Linked DNA regions of Drosophila melanogaster. The protein of the gene in region 3 interacts with the protein of the main gene of each other region in a pairwise test. Each region holds a gene or a part of one and is shown on either strand. Other genes may lie near its edges.

What was found.
Region 1: the proteins of Spn31A (region 3) and Cpr64Ad interact in a two-hybrid assay, tested with the Drosophila melanogaster proteins (one large-scale study listed by BioGRID).
Region 2: the proteins of Spn31A (region 3) and NimB4 interact in a two-hybrid assay, tested with the Drosophila melanogaster proteins (one large-scale study listed by BioGRID).

Annotation. Positions count from the first base shown.
Region 1 is NT_037436.4:4,212,984-4,217,749, reverse strand, and holds Cpr64Ad (cuticular protein 64Ad), read right to left. Parts: upstream 2,372-4,766; 5' UTR 2,301-2,371; coding exon 2,286-2,300; intron 2,211-2,285; coding exon 1,482-2,210; 3' UTR 1,336-1,481; downstream 1-1,335. Other genes in the region: CG43367 (uncharacterized protein), read right to left, coding at 1-93, 156-280, 345-513, 572-959, 1,023-1,166.
Region 2 is NT_033779.5:13,966,882-13,972,339, reverse strand, and holds NimB4 (nimrod B4), read left to right. Parts: upstream 1-2,363; 5' UTR 2,364-2,431; coding exon 2,432-2,721; intron 2,722-2,879; coding exon 2,880-3,443; intron 3,444-3,504; coding exon 3,505-3,997; 3' UTR 3,998-4,060; downstream 4,061-5,458. Other genes in the region: He (hemese), read left to right, coding at 1-100; NimB5 (nimrod B5), read right to left, coding at 503-599, 659-1,201, 1,474-1,781; NimB3 (nimrod B3), read left to right, coding at 4,429-4,589, 4,646-4,853; NimB2 (nimrod B2), read left to right, coding at 5,416-5,458.
Region 3 is NT_033779.5:10,058,170-10,065,107, reverse strand, and holds Spn31A (serpin 31A), read right to left. Parts: upstream 4,293-6,938; 5' UTR 4,109-4,292; intron 2,544-4,108; 5' UTR 2,537-2,543; coding exon 1,667-2,536; intron 1,608-1,666; coding exon 1,454-1,607; intron 1,396-1,453; coding exon 1,271-1,395; 3' UTR 1,183-1,270; downstream 1-1,182. Other genes in the region: CG44153 (uncharacterized protein), read left to right, coding at 1-310; Pen (pendulin), read right to left, coding at 5,641-6,261, 6,339-6,909.

The DNA.
Region 1 (4,766 bases), on a different chromosome or scaffold from region 3:
GTGGGTTCCGTAGTGAAACTTTGGTATGGCACCAGAGGGGTCCTCGAATGAATCATATTTGCCGCGCACTTCGGCCTCGTTTTTAGGATTTATCTGCGGTAGAAATGCGTTTGTCATGTAACTGATCACCTTTTTCTATTTTCAGTAATACTTACGCATCCAATGGGTTTGGATAGGTCACGGAACGATTTTGGATCGGTAAGATCCAGCACGTCACTGGTGTAATCAGCAAGGATCCAGGGGAAGACGGGGTATTGGCTTAGATCATTGTAGGATCGACCTAGTTATGTAAAATACGTTAGTTTGATAAAAATGTATGTAATAATCAGATGTTATTTGCTTACCTGCGATTGTGTTTAGGTACATCAAGTATTCAAAGTTGGAAATCTCACGATTGATCCATCTCTGTGTGAGTCCCGAGGCCCTAAGCAGCTCAGCCGGCGATCTTCCCGAGCCGTAGAGTATGTTTGGAAGCGGTAGACCCACGATTTTTGTGAAAACTTTATTTCGAGTCTTAAAGAAATAAGAACATTTGCAATGATCACATTTTATTTACAAAAAAAAAACTCACCTTCGTCGTAAAGTTGAGGAAGTAGCTAGTCTGATCCACCAGGAAGATTTCCAAAGCACTCCTGCGCAGATTGTACTTTCGCAGATGAACCTCACGTATCTTGTTGGTGGAGAACCTGAAATCGTATTTGGAACCATCCTCTGTTGGCGGGCTCAAGTCCACAAAGGTGAACACGCTCTGGTTAACCTCAATGCGTCCCTTCACCTTGGTCATCAGCGTGATCAGCTCACAGTCCTGTGACATGACTAGCTTCTCCAGCGCCACATCCTGTTGCGCTTGCGTGTCGATCAGTTGACGTAGTTCCTCCTCCAGCTGGGAACTTTCGTCATCCGCCAGGAAATCGCGCACCACGGCATTCTTGATGGTGGAGTCAAATTCAGAGATTTCCCTAAGATAAAGGATATTGAAAATCAGATTATGAAGGACACTACTAAGGACTGGCTGGGCTTACTTGGTGTCGTAGGCACTGGTCGCATTGTCGCGCAGATTGGCGGCATTCTCGTGTTTATTTGGATATAACTGAGGCTCCAATTTCAGACGCATCCTGGCCACGTTCTCATGTTGCGAAAGCTTCCAGAACTCTTCATCCACTTCCCTAAAAAGAACACCAAGTTTTAAGTGTAATCCTTAAAATATAAAGAATGATACATATAAATATTACCTATAAATATTAAAGCTAAAATACTTAAATAATTTTCTTAAGCCTCTATATGATATCACTCTCGTAATCCAGGATGCCTTTAAACAATAAACTACAATCTTTTGTTTTCAGAATTTCTTTAATTTTGGGTTTTTGCGATGAAAGTTATTCAATAGCTCGACAATGATTAATCGAATATGTACAGATGAAAGTCCTTTGTCGAATTGCGGTCAATACTTCCTTTACGACTCCTACTTCTCCTCCTTCTACTTAGGCGACGATGGGAGCGGCCAGGGTCTTGGCGAAGACTGGAGCGGGGGCAGCAGCCACAACTGGAGCCACTGGAGCAGCCACGGTCTTGGCCAAAACTGGAGCCACTGGGGCAACAGCCACGGGCACATCCTTCTGCACCACTGCGTTGAAACCGTTGATGGAGTCGGCGTAGTAGCTGACAATACGACGGGAACCATCGGGCTCGATCAGAGAGTAGGATCCACGGACGACATCACCATCACGAGTCTCCTCCTGGGTCTTGGAGTCACCGGTTAGCGTATCCTGGACATCGTAGGCGAACTTGTACTGTGGGTGGGCATCCACGATCTCGGTGGCGATGGGAGCAGCAACTGGAGCAGCCAGGGGAGCAGCAACTGGAGCAGCCAGGGGAGCGGCTACTGGAGCAACTGGGGCAGCGAGAGGAGCGGCGACTGGGGCAGCCAGGCGAGCAGCAACTGGGGCAACTGGAGCAGCGAAGGGAGCGGCGAAAGGAGCGGCAGCGTAGGTCTTGGACACCAGGGGAGCAGGTCCCGCCACCAGAGGGGCGTTGTATCCCAAAGGAGCCGCGTAGCCCAGAGGGGCGGAGTACGCAGCCGGGGCGAAGTATGGAGCAGGTCCCAGAGGGGCGGAGTAAGCCAGAGGAGCACCCAGAGGAGCGGCGGCCAGAGGAGCGCCAACCAGACCAGCCTGAGCCGAGAGGGCCATCGAGGAAAGGACTGCAACAACCTGTGAGGAAAATGCATGGAGTCCAGTTTAGTCTCCTGACCTGACGGGTTCACCGAAGCCATCACCAACACTTACCGTCAGAGGATTCATTGTAAGGCTTGGGTGGGGGTTTAGTGCGATTGTCACCGTCGGTTATCGAAAATGAACTGACATACCTTGGACAAAAAAACCACGACTTTTATACCCAGATGCGTTCGCGAAATTTGCATGCGGTGCTCCGTGGAGGGAACTGCGTACCAATTGCGTATGGTAGCCCATTGTCCGAGCTCCTTGCCCCCCGCATCATCACCATCGCCGCTTTTTGGGGCCGCCTCTTCCTACCCAGCATTTGGCTGCGTCTGCGTCTCGGGCTTTGATCCAAATTCGCAGCACGTACTCCAATTTTCAGTCGTCTTGCGGTGGCTACACCAAGTTTTCATTTTTATTTGCCACTGTTTTTGCCTTGTTCGGATCGAAAGTGAATGCGATTTGATTATATTTCGGAGCAGTAGTTTTCGGTAATTGTCATGCAGGTTCCATCCAATGACAGTGCTTTTAATTTTCCTTTACACCAAAAGCGCGAAACTTATAATTAAGTTACCATAATGACGTCGAGTTGACAAGGGTTCAAGCTCAAAAACTTAATATTAATATATCTCTGGGATAAAAAAGTATCTTTAGAGTGTAATGATCCTGATTTTGATGTACTACTTGAATTGGTTGTCTCAAATAAATTGGAAAGTTTCTTATACACCTTATTGGGTATCAATTACTTATGCTAATGAGTTACCACTTATACATAATAAGGGTTTTCACAAGGGGTTCGGTTTCACTTAACAAGGTGAAACTGGGTCAATGTGGCCCAGTAATATCGATTAGACTAATATATATACTATATACCCATATATTACTATTGTAAATCTATTGAAAGATTATCAACATTTGATACATCAATTATATTGATATTATTCTAATAAATGGCCATGCATTTGGTTTATGTTTCCATAAGGAGATTTTTAGTTCCTCCCCTAAACGACTTTGCTGAAAAGGATAAATCTTATTTTAAATTTAACATGCTTTCCTAACAAATATCTTCAGTAACAACAAGAATCTCTGGTCTTTTGGAATTTGCCTAACTCCATGGTTGATTAAAGATTCCCCATCGATTTCGTGCTGTAACTGGTGGCTGGTTTTGAGTTCGTGACTCTTTTCCTAAATGCAACCAACGACCTTGCGACTCGTTGGCTGCGGATTCACCTCGGAGAGACGCTGAGCGATCCGGAGAAGCGGAGAGAGCCCCAAAAGTTGGCACCAAATGGTGGTATTACTCGTCGGGTTGTGGTAGCTGACTAACGGTTGTCGGCGTAGATTGTCGCCACCGGAAACCAGCATGGATATACAGTCGTCCAATTTGGCCAAAGCGAATGGAATGCTCCACTGCCATTTATGCAGTTCCTTGCCCAATCGCTTGACTCTGCTCTGAGATGAGAATTAATTAAAAGTGGATGAAATACTAACCACAGCCACTTAGCTGCCAATTGTGAGCAAGGTCGCCGCGGTTAGAGCTTCCAAATGCCGGCTAAATGCTTTTTGGCCCGATCGAGGCAATTACGGTGGCTAAGTGACCGGGCTCAGCAATGTGGGCGCTGGTCCAGTTGGTCAGGTGGAAATCGGATCGTCGAGGGGTTAATGCGTGTGCCAGTGCGTAATTGCGCCTGCGTCCCGCCCAATTCCATTCCCTCCACCAAGCCGTCGAAACTTGCCATTTTCGTTTTCTAATTAAACGAGTGGCTGCGAACGATTGATCTTGTTTTTATACCCTGCACTTTGGGTGGGCACATTGGACATGTATGTTACTATGAAGATTACTCGCACGTCACGCAAACCAAGCGAAATTTGCTTGCGTTTGGACAACATGGCGTGTGAGTGATAATCGGCATAACTTAACAGCAGGCATTTCAATTACATATTCAAATATTGATTGAAGTATGTTCGCCAAATGAGTGTTTACATATCCAATTGTAATCTTGGTTTCATACATTTTCAGAAAATTGAGAGTAAATACATATTTTCATTAGGTCTTTGATGATATTAAAGATTTTTCTTGAAAGGGTACCTACAATCGCTAAAAAAGCACTGTCACTGTTCTTGTGGCAACTGCAACTGAAACTGCCACAATATGAGGCACTTATTACATCAGACAAATTTTGGCTGGAGAACCTGAGAATGTGCCAAAAAACGGCGAAAAAATGAAACCAGATCGGCCAGCGAGTCAGCGGAAAACGAGTCTGGTGTTGCTGGTAGCTGACTAGCTGGGTATCTTGGAGCGGCGCTCTTGAACGGACTCAAATGGACTTCGGTGAGTGGTGTGCCTCGGCAGCGGCGGCTGCAGTTATTCCATTGAGAAAAGCCAGCACCAATGATGAAATCCGCACCAGAAACACGAAATCCGCCATCAGCGATGAGGTCTGGGGTGCAAGATCGAGATCGAGATCGGGCAGCCACCAAATGAGACGCAATTGTCACTCTGCCCATTAGATTGTCCAGTTTTTTTTTCCGCTGGCAGCTGCCGCCAGT
Region 2 (5,458 bases), 3.9 Mb from region 3:
TCTAATATACTGCATTCGACGCCATTATGGTTCATATTCTGTGAAAGAGCAATGCAAGCCCATTGAAAGTACCGCATATTTTAATAATATTAAATATTAAAATCATATTTAAATAATATTATCTAAAAACAAGGATTTAAATAATAACTTTCTTAAAAACAAATTTGCATCCACTAAGTATTAAAATAATTTTTGGCACGAATCTTAAAATATTTGAAATAAACATGACTCATTTATTTCCGACAAGCGCTTCAAATATTTTATTTCTACTTGTGCCGGATAAGAAGAATTTCAAAACAAAAACATTTGTTATATTTAAGCGATACGGAAGTAAGTAATCTCAGCTATTCGACATGTTTTGAATGCGATATTATCTAGCCATTTAAATTTATTTTTTAAGATAATGACTGCAGCTTTTGGATAAACACAATCTCTGTTTTGGTTTTATACCGATCAAGCCCAAGGGATTTCGAAATAAAAATCAATTCTTTAGTAATAATGTCTATACTGGAACGCACATGGTTGATTGCTCATGGTAGGTATATCCCGGATCGCATAGACATCGGTTTCGGCTGACACACACGCCATTGTTGCACTTCCTGCACCGAATAAAGATTGCCATTAGTCTGGTATTCCCAGCATGAAGTTTTCAGCTTACTGATAGCAATCGGCCTGGCAGACACCATCCCTCAGATTGTAACCAGGAGCGCAGTCGCACTGGTTGTTGTCCTTGCAGAGTCCGCCGATTCCACAGTCCGGTTCGCAGACGGGCTGGCATCCGTCGTCGGTCAGCTGATAGCCCTTGGAGCAGCCACAGATCTCCGGTTCGGTGCAGTTGTGCCGCGGACTGCTGCCACAGCCACTGCTGCAGATCGGGCGGCAGAAGCGTCGCGTCTCGTCCAGCTTGTAGCCCGGATCACACTGACAGCTGCCGTCCAGATAGCACTGACCATTTTGGCAGCCCAGCGGGCAGGCAAACACACAGTCACCGTTGTCGTTACGCACAAAGCCATCATAGCACTCGCACTCACCAGGAATCTTACAGCTTCCGTTCTGGCAGCCACATTGCGCCCGGCACACGGTTACGCCCATCAGACGACTGGCCGAGTATCCGGTGCAGCAGACCTCGATCAGGGACAGCCGGTTGGCCTGGTCCGTCTGGATGACACTGGGGTACGAGTACTTTTCCACCGTATCGGGGCTGCTCGAATGTTGGAAAACAAAAAATATTATAACTAAGTTCACCACATTGCTTCCAATTCTCAGTCTATGCTTATGAATTTTGGCAACTAAAAGTTTTACAAATTCTGGGAGTACAGATAAGGCTTGCGATATTATGTTCACAGTAGAAAGTTTATATATATATTTCTGATTATCAAAACATACATATATATATATACATTGTTAAAATAAAAAAATTTTGTTAATGTATATATACTTCAACGTTGTTTTCTGTGTATCTGACATACTTACGGCACCCAAATGCGGCATTTGTGTTGCCCCCTATCGGATTGCGTTTCATGTGATCGAATGAGATACTCTCGTCGTTTCGGCTGCAACTCCACATTTCTGGGATCTTGGAAGTTGGCTGGTCCAGGTCGATTATAGGACAACTGCCGGTTTTCCATGTACCCGCGGCCATAGGTTCCCATTCCTGGATCCTGGGACACAGGCCTTCTGTTGTACCGATCCGAATAGCTTGGCACATTTGTGTAAATACTGGGCAGACACACCATCAGGTGGAAAAAACTTAGACGAATGCGCAAGTCTCGCAACCACATCTTGAGCACTCCTTATTTCAAGTTTCTAGGTGTTCACAATTTGCCAGCTAGAATTGTACTAATTTTCGCCACTGAAACAGAATTAATTTTTTTTGTCTTATCAGAAAAGCAGCTATATTCGATGCATAGGCTAAGATGAGAGGAATTTGGTTCAGTTTGTTTATGAGAGTTTATTATTATGAATACATGTAAGTCGAAATTTTTAAGTGTTGCGACTTGTTTATACCTCAGTTGGATAATTTTCTAAAATATTTTTTCTAATTTTATTTTGAACGAGCCCAAAGCATATTTAAATATAAATAAAATAAAATAAAATATATTTGAATATGCTAATTTACATACCCAAAAGATACTTTTGGTTACTGAAATATTTTATTTGCATCCCATCACTATTTATCCGGGAAATTACAATTCGTAATGAAAGAACATAAAACTTAAGACGATCTTTAGCTCGTTCTTACTTGACATACATTGGCATTGCGAGCCCTGGATCTCCCCCTCCAGATCCGAATTAAGCGCTGAAGCCCTCTTATCATTGCCTCCGGCTGTGATTAGAGGCTGGCCCAACTGCGTCGTCTCCGGAGCAGTAAACAATAGCGACTTGAGCGTTTCGGTAGCGCGCCACAAAGGAATCCGCGCCCAGCACTGAGATGTCAACAATACTGCGATCTCTGTGCCTCCACTCGGTGCTCCTGGTCCTGTTCCTCTGCGTGCTGCACGGCCTGGAGCTGCAACTTCACGAGCAACAGCTGCAGCAGCAAAAGGACGAGCAGCTGCGCCTGCGCGCGGAGCAACGCCAGCGGGAACTGCTGCGTGAGCACGAGGCTCTACAGCGACGCCTCTCGTCCTCGACCACCACACGGAAACCCTATATAATACCCAACGGTTTGTCGCTGCCCCGGAGAGGGGAACATCCGGACAAGTGCCGACAGGAAGTGCCGTAAGTGTGTGCCGGTGACAATCTAAGCCCATTAAATCCTTGGGCTCTTTTAGACCTTGCCCATAACCAGCACAAGTTCTCGTATGGTTTATAACTTTTAATTTTACTGATATATCTCAAAAGCACACATGCATTGTATACACCAATCCAATCTCCAGGGCCGTGTTCTTTCAGTACGACAAGGAGGTGAAGATTGTGGGCAACAGCTCCACCAATCCCTACATGAACGTGATCGAGGTTTGTTGCAAGGGCTGGCGCCGCTATGAATATGACTGGAGCCAGTGCGTTCCGGATTGCGGTGAGCGGTGCCAGGAGAACGGCTTCTGTGTGGCGGGCGGCAAATGCGTGTGCTTCACGGACTTTGTGCTCAACTACCGCAACAATTGTGTGCCCACCTGTCCGTTGGGCTGTCCGCATGGTCGCTGTTACTTGAACGGCACCTGCCAGTGCGATAAGGGATACGAGCTGGACGGATCGCGCAAATTCTGCCAGCCGCAGTGCAACGCCACCTGTGGCCACAACGAGGTCTGCTTGGAGCCGGGCAAGTGCTCCTGCGCCGAGGGATATACCCGAGGACTGAGGGAGTCCGCCGCCCTGGGATGCCAACCGATTTGTATTCCGGACTGCGGATACGGTCACTGCGTGCGGCCCAACGAATGCGAGTGCTTCCCCGGATTCCAAAAACGCAAGAACGGCATCACCTGCGAAGGCGATTGCTATATGTGAGTGTTAGAACTAGACGCCTCTCCTTTTACATTTAATAATTTAATAAATTTCTTTCAGGACCTGCGAGAATGGCTTCTGTGCAAACAAAACGACGTGCGTGTGTCAGAACGGATATCGATACGATAAGAATACGACGACCTGTCTGCCGGATTGCGGGGACAACTGCGATAATGGGGTGTGCATCTCGCCGGGCAACTGCCGCTGCTTCAAGGGCTACGTCCGGAATCGGGAGCGATGCGAGGCGGTCTGCGTGGGTGGATGTGGTTTTTACGGCAAATGCATCGCACCGAATGTGTGCGGATGCGCCATAGTCCCGGGTCCGGAACGCACCTACCAGCGTTGCGAGTACGGATTGTGCAACGCCATGGGAAGATGCCGCTGCCAGGTGGGCATGACGCGATTCATCGATCGCTGCATGTCGCCGGACACGGTCACCACATACGCCTCTATGAATCCCGTCAAGGTGAACGCATCGCTCATCCAGGAATTCAATCTTCTGCTGGGCAGGCACTTCAACTTGACCACACTCAGCGATATGTGGTGGTTGTGAGTTCGGAGCTCTCACTTTTCCAGCATCACTGAGCAGTCTCTAATAAATATTCATGCATTTCCCAAGACGTTGTGTTCTTATCAGGGGTGTCTGAAATATCTTGTGGCTTCATCTCTTGGGATTTCGCTTTTTTGAAGCAAGTCTAGCTTAAATTGTAAACGTACGTCGAAGATTTGGTACCCTCTCGAAAGTTGTTTCATTTGAATAGGTATTTATTATTTGGTATATCACTTATTTTCTGCATAGTCAACATACCCCACGAATACCGGGTACTGAACACATAATTATCTTCCTAGGAATATAGAACATTTCTATCTCCGTACACTTAAATGCCGCGCTTGACACAGACGACAATTTAGTAGCTCCGAGACACTGGCGAGCATTGCGCTCGCATTTTGATACGACCTCGCCTTCAGCTGAATCCGAGCGAAATGCACTTGACATCCACGCTGATTGGACTCCTTATCTGCGGTCTGGGGATCGAGCTGCCCACGCGCACTGCCGCACAATTCTGGTCGGTGGATCCTGTTACGCAGTGGCGAAAAGAGGCTCTGGCCGAGAGGGGATCCGGCATCTGTTACAGGACGCTCACGTAGGTAAACCATTCCGCACGCCTGACCGAATTTCAAGATCAATTCCCACTCCCAGCGTGGAAACCATCAATCCCAACTCCAGAAATCGTCAGTTCTCCTACTGCTGCGATGGTTATGTGAATAAGGGAACAAGCCAGAACCTGAAGTGCGAGCCCATTTGCTCGGAGGACTGCTCCAATGGATTGTGCCTGGCGCCCGAGGAGTGCGAGTGTGCTCCGGGTTACTATCGGAGTAACAAAAGGTGTCGTTTTGTCTTGGAATAACAAAAATAAATAATATCAATTACAATATTTTTTGAGTTGCTTACTTTATCATTATTTGATCAATACTTCTACTATTTGAAATATTATTAACCTGTTTTTTACGACCATTCATGATTACATAGAAACGTTAAATTTTTTTTTTGAAAAAACCTTCATAAGTTTTAAAGGTTCATCATTTTTATGTTCTGTGCCTTTAAATCTGATATTTCATCAAGAAATAATCTCTATACCTGAAGTCATCGTTGTACGCAAACTTTTCTTGGAATTACCCAAAAGCAATGAGTTTTGTTTACGACTCACAATTTATGGCAATGATCGATTTGCTTTGCCCGAAGCTACTGAGAGCAAACCTTCGCTCCGTTTGCCACATTGATGGGTACATTGGCGAGGTGCTGATTAGAAGGGGGACAAGAGGTTGCCGGAGGCGAATGGCGGCTCAGAGATCCGGAGCTTCGCATCGGGAGCCGATTAGTCGATGTGCAACTACAGTCGCCAGCGGACGTGGACGTGGGCGCATAATCAATTTCCATACGTACGAAATCCGTAATCAAGTGACATCACCATGAGGTCATCATCGTGCCAGCTGGTGACTCTGGGCGTTCTGC
Region 3 (6,938 bases):
GCCCACCCAGACGCCGAAGACGCAGAAGCGAGTGACCATCCTGGAGCCGACGTCCCGCACGACATTCGACCCCCTGCTGCCCACCATGGTGGCGGCGGTGGTCTCCACATCGACTGTCACCAGCACGGCGACTACGACGCCAGCCACGCCCACACCCACGCAAAGCGGCTGCAGTGGGGGCAATGATGCAACGCTGGATCGGATCACGCTCGATCTGGACTACTTGCTGAACAGGGGCGCTGCGGATGCCGGCGAAGCAGGCGGCGTTGCCCCACCGCCCACCAGTGATGATGGACAGCAGAAACAATAGCAATATCCGTGAGTTGGATGGCATTTGTAGGCCAAATGCCCACACTAAGATGCATTTAAGAGGCTTCGTTTTTCTATCAACAGATGTACATATGTGTAAATCAAATTTCGAAACTAAACTACAGTAAAAAACAAATCTCTGTGAATATTCTATCTAAGTATGCATCGGATATAGATACCAAATATGGATAACAATCAGTTTAGCAGCTCCTGGTTTTACCAATTTTTTATCAAATAAGACCATCCAATTTTCAGTTCTATCAATTCATGAAATGTTCAAAGTTACTGTCCTTCAAAGTGATTTAGGCATCAATCAACCTAGACTCATATTTAGAACACAATTTAAAGTTTACATCATATGGCATATGTAAAACGAATTGAATGAATTTAAACTTAGGATAACTTTTTAGCTAGATTTACAAAAAGCCTATTGTGGAGAATACAATGAGAACGAAATTGAAAAAAAAAAAAACAAATTAATGAGCGAGAACATGTTTTTGATTCCATTTAAAGTTTCCTAGAATTAAAGCCAAAATTAAGCCCTATTAAGAAGCAGAGATTAAATACAAAATACAATAATTGTAAAACTAATAAACATAACAGGACTATTTCTGGAACAAAACAAATTATACAGATATATCTTTAAATAAACTCGAGACTCTTGTTAGAAAATCTATTAAAAGTGTGTGTTTGAATTTGGAAAAAAAATATGATATTAAATGACTAAAAATTACTGACAAGCCGGAAATGCAAGGTAAGATTGTGGTTAGATTTTTATAATAATTTTCATAGAAATTTTAAACCATTTTCATTTTGCAACAAATACAAAAAATCGATCATATATTCCGAAGCATTCATACATCGATATTACTTGTTTAGTAAATATTAGTTTTATTTTACTTAGTTTTATAGAAGTTAACATATTGCACTACCCTTCCGTGTATCTAAATTTTAAGAATTTTTAAAATTCCACCACGTGACCCATCAGATAGGTCACATTCTCACTGCGAATGGCGAAGAAGAATGGATGGTCAGCTCGGAAGAATTTCTGGCGGGAGGAATTGCTGATCACAATGGGCTTATATTCTGGAATGTTTATGGATAAGGTATATTTATCACCAGGAACTACAAAGAAATTAAATACCTGTGGCATTCTTTGGTAACTCGGGTCCGGATCCGGATCCAGACTCATTCAGATTTATGCGCAGCTTTTGAAGAACATCGGCAATGGGCAGATTCGCCGATGCATGCAGATGTTTGAAGTTCGCCGATGCAGCAAATATCTCCTCAAAGCCGAGCTATATAAGATAACATATTCGAAATTGGGAAAGAGGATACATTTATTGATTTTACGAACCTGTTTCAACGGCTGCCGCAGACTGCACTCGAAATCGATACTGAATTTGGGCAGCAACACCTGCACGCCCTCCATCTGCATTCGCTGCTGCAGTGCACCCAAATCCAGGTCATGCAGCTGCTTCTCCAGTTCCTGCAGGCCACCACGCTGATTGGGCAGAATGAGCAGCATGGACAGCTCCTCGGCGTGCTCGTAGGGCAGCTCAATGGCACGCGCATCCAGATCCCTCAGCTCAGCGAACTTCACGAACATGTCGTCGTCGAAGAGCATGGGCACCGATTTCACCTGGCTGCCGCTGTGAAACTCATAGAGTCCGGTTCTGTAGGCACTGAAGGGCAGGAACCACTTGCTCTGCAGATTGGCGGCCAGCAGCAGGAGCAGGGTATTGGCTGACGAACCACCTGCCACGTGAATATCCTTCCAGCTGCCGCCTCCAACGCTGGCCAGGATCTGTTCGCTGATGTGGCGACGCAGTTTCTCCGTTTGCTCCAGATCAACACACTCGGCAGTGGCATGGAAATAGGTTTGTGCAATCTTCTGGAAATCATCGGCCACTCCAGATTCAGATGACAGCATCAAACGATTCTGCAGCTGCAGGAAGGTATCTGCATCTGTTGTGATATTGCCCAGTTCCGCGGCATAGAAATTGGCCATTTTGGCATTGCTGGCAAAACGTTGCTTCAGTCGCAGTTGTTTCTGCAGCTCCTCGGCGGTGGCTCCATCCGATCCCAGGAAGAGCAGGGACAGAGTGGCTTCCAGTAGTAGTGGTGATACAACTACATTTTGTTCTGCAAAACTCGTTGCTATGCTGTGGTAAATACCAGCACCTATGTGGCAATCATAGGGCGTTGGATTGGCAGCTTCACTCATTGTGTTGCTTCAAAAAAATCCAAGAAAATTCAAGTTTTGAAATCTTTGTATGCAAAATGAAATCGTAATCTTCGTAAAGCTACAAAAAACATACACAGATATATTGCATGATAAATTACTTAGCTTTCAACTTTGGAAGGGGTATTATCTTGCCCACTTTTTCCAGGAATCTAATGAAATCTGAATCTCTTGAGAAGCCTTGGGCAGTGTTTTCGTATGCAGATGAAGTCTTATTAATATTATAAAGGCGTGAATTTATCGCTTCCACATGGTTGATTCTATCAAAAGTAATTGTTTAGCATAAATGCGCCCTACGGCATAATGCAAAACACATGTGCCATGTATATACATACATATGTAGATATACATTTGTAAGTAAACTTGGCCAAATTTATTAGGGCCATGAGATGCTTTAAATAAAATGAAAATATAATGCGGCCCAGCCGCAAGTAGATACTACATTGAATCCCATTTAAATTCACCTTGGCTCTTGAAGTGCACACTGTAATGAAAATGTAAATTGTCTACCATTTCATTTGGCGAATACAAAAGAAGCGCCTTGAACAAATAAAGTCAACTGAACACACTAGGCCAAACTTGACACTATTTTCGGCAAGTAAACAAAGCGGAAACGCCGAGGCGGAAAACTTTGTGACAGTGCTGTGGCTATATATTTGCGGCAACTTTTAATTTCACGCGAATTTCGGCAGCCGCCGCCGTTCTATGGCAAACAAACCCAATCCCACCGCCTACCACGCCCACGCCCACGCCCACTTCAATGCCCACTCGCTATATATGTACTATATAGTTTGTCGATTCGAAGCTGCAGCTCTGCACGCCGATTTCTACGCGACGCGCACACTTGCGCGCTTAATTGCCACATCAACAAACAAAATACGCGCCCACCCACCCCAATCGGAAAATAAAAACGGACCGAAACGGAAAAAAAGACCGTTTTCCGCTTCAAAATCGCGAGAGCCACGCTGCCCACACTGCAAGAAAAATCTATCAGAAAATCATGTCACTCATACTCTTTCAGTTTTCACAATTTTATCACATGAACAACTTTAAAATGCATTTTGAATAGATTTAGTATAGGTAATATACTATTCTATCAATTCACAGCAAAATTAAATGTTTTCCCAATGATTAAAATTAAACATTTTATAATGAGTACAAATTTCTTGCTGTGTACGCTATGTAGTAGTCGCTATAAAGTAGCGCTGTTCTAGTGCTAGATGTTTATTGTTTATTTTTGGTGTGCCAATTTTTTGTTTTATTCAACGAAATTAACTGCATCATGAGTTTGTCAAAAGTGCTTTCGATTTTTTTCACACTTTTTTTCTTGTATTTTGTAAACGTTTAAATGCACCAAGTGGCATATGGTGTATCCCCAACTGGATTCTCAGTGAGGCATATGAGATCAGAAAATTGTTTTCGAAGTGGCATCATCAACAACAATAGTTGTGAAAATTTCGACACACATTCAGTGAAAATGCGAATTGATTTACACACAAGGCAATTTACGAAACTACCGATTGGTTTCACATCACTTGCACTATTCTCTATTACCTTTTTTAAAAATCGTTAGAAATTTTTAAGTTTCAAATGCGTAATGTCAGTTCAGATCGTTTTGCAATTATATAAATTAGTTGCCCTTAGAGATTCACGCCCGCACGCAGCTTCGGCAGAAAGTCGACTAAACGCTTGCGCTCGGAAATAATAAAATAGCTCGAGAAAGAACCAATTGAATACATAGATCCGATCCATCGGTGACGACAATTTGGGCAACGCGGAGGCAAAAGCTCCGGATGGCGGCCAATGCTTCCACAATTCAGTTCGAATTTTCGGCAACTACTTTGCCCATGCTGAATTTTTAATCTATTTTTATAATTTGTTTTGCCACACACACACACGATTCGCCGAATTCGACGCACTGCATCCGATGGGAACAAGATCGTACGTGGACATGGTTGTTGATGTGACGTCGTCGCTCCACTGATTAAGCTTACCCTCTGGATCACTGCAATAACCACGAACGCTGCGATTCATCTTGATTGAGTTGTGCGTGGTGCGCGTTCTGTGCCAGTAGTAGACTACTACTCACTACTCACTCGTCGGTTGTTTAATCATTATATCTAATCTGGAACTTTTTTGGGGTCGCTGTCCACCGCTGCTCGAGTGGGCGTGGCTGCGGTAGATAGCTCTTAATCTTCCGGCTATCCGCTTACGGCCCAAATGCGATTTAAATGTACAAGACAAAAAAAAAAACATGTATTGACTGCATGACTTTTTATCGCGGATTTACGGACAAAAGGCGCCAGCGCATCGAAGGGATAACATTTTAAATTCGATTGCCTGCATCGGTGTATATCCCAATAGCATTCCAAATAATATACAAAAAAAAATGCCAAGGCCCAAAAATAGGCTCCAATTTTCGCAATGCTCAAATGCAGCTTAAATACACATGAAATTTAATTAATCATTCAAACAATTCATTATTTATTGACAACTTTGAATATAAACATGCGATTCGGGAATGAGGACACTGGTGTGAAGGGAATGAGTTGTTGTTGTTGTTGTTGTTGTTGTAATGCTTGCGCGAAGGTGGAGGATTAAAAGCGTTTCCTGTATACATAAATAAATACTAAACAGCCTAAAATATATCCGAAATGAGCTCGAAACGTATCCAATAAAAAGCCTAGTACACGCAAACATAAGGTGCCCCCTGTACAGACGGATTCTGGAAATACTATGATCCACGGATCCCAGCCAGCGCAGCTGCCCGAGCGGTTGCATCGTGAACGAGGAACACTGCCAGAAAGATCCATGCTGCAATCTGTGAAGTCTAGTCTAACGCGAGGAATACGGGTATGTTAAATGGGGATTCATGCGAGTGGATTTTGCCAACCCGATTCAATTATGACTTTAAGCTAATGCATTCGCCTGTGTTTCCATGCATACCTCCAAAGTGTTTGGGAATGTTTGTAAGATGTGATGATGAGTATGCGTATGTTTGACAATGGCATAGTGTGTGAGCGCGGTCGAAGGTGTAGTTGTTTGTAAGGCGTGTGAGCGGAGTTTGGAATGTGTGGGGTGGGCGATTAGAACGTGTAGCCACCTTCGGGAGCCTTGGGCTGGGTGGCATTGAACTCGAGGGCTCCGTTGACCTCCTGAGGTGCGAGCTCTTGCTCGGCCTCGTCGTCGCCGTTGCTGAAGTATGTGTCAATGATGGCGTAGGCCTTCTTGTAGACCTCCTCGTTCTCGTGCTGCTGCAGAGTTTCCAGCTTGTCTAGACCGCCCATCTCCTCGACCATCAAGCATAGGTTCTCGGTGCCACCAAGTTTCTCCGCCAGGGCAAACAGATTGGATAGGCCCGTCTGCACCACCTTGATGGTACGCGGATCCTTTGTGTCCAGCAAATCGATAAAAGGCTTCAATATTTTGTACTTCTCAATTAGATCGACGATCTGTTCGGGAGTGCCAGATGTCGTGGTGTTTGTCACCGCCCAGGCAGCCTCTTTTTGAGCCTTGAAATCACCCTTCTCCAGCACGGTGCGCAGCTGCTGGAAGATGCCGGCCTGAATCACAGCCTGGATCTGCTTCTGGTTACCTGCTGTGATGTTGCTGACCGTCCAGGCAGCCTCCTTCACAATGTTGCTTTTGTTGTGCTGTAGAAGGAGTCCCAGCCTTGGTAAACCTCCAGATGCAATTACAACGTCAGTCTAATAAAAAAAAAAAAAAAAAACAGGTCGGTCAGGCATGTTATAACAATAAGGATTAAAATCATTTGTTTTCCTACCTGTTGATCTGTGCCAGTCACAATGTTGCCAACGCTGCGCAGGGCGGGCACAATAATGCTCGGCTCGTCCATTTGCAGCAGTTTGACCAGGCGCGGCACTGCGTCCGAGTCGACCACAGCCTGGATCTTGGTGTTATCGTCGTCCGTGACGTAGGACAAAGCCCAGCAGGCGTCGGCCAGCACTTGGATGTCCTGACTAAGCAGAAGCTGCGACAGGACGGGCAACAGCCGCTTCACCTGATCGAATGGCGGCGATGGATTCTTGTTCCGGCACAGGTTGGACATCAGCCAGACGATGTTGCGCAGAAAAGAGAGCGGTGTCTCATTGTTGATCAGTGGCAAGATTCCGTCAATTACGTTGTGGTGGATGACAATGTCGCGGGCGGCGGCTCCGTCGCCGGCAATGTTGCCCAGAGCCCAGACTGCCTGCTCGGCCAGGTTCATGGACTTGGACTGGAGCAGAGCCACGAAATGCGGCACAGCATTGTGTTCGATAACGCAGCGCGTTTGGTCGGATGTGCCAGAGGCGATGTTGGTAAGCGCCCAAGCGGCCTCGAACTGCAGCATTGAGCTGTAGCGGCGAATCAGGGGATATTCAAT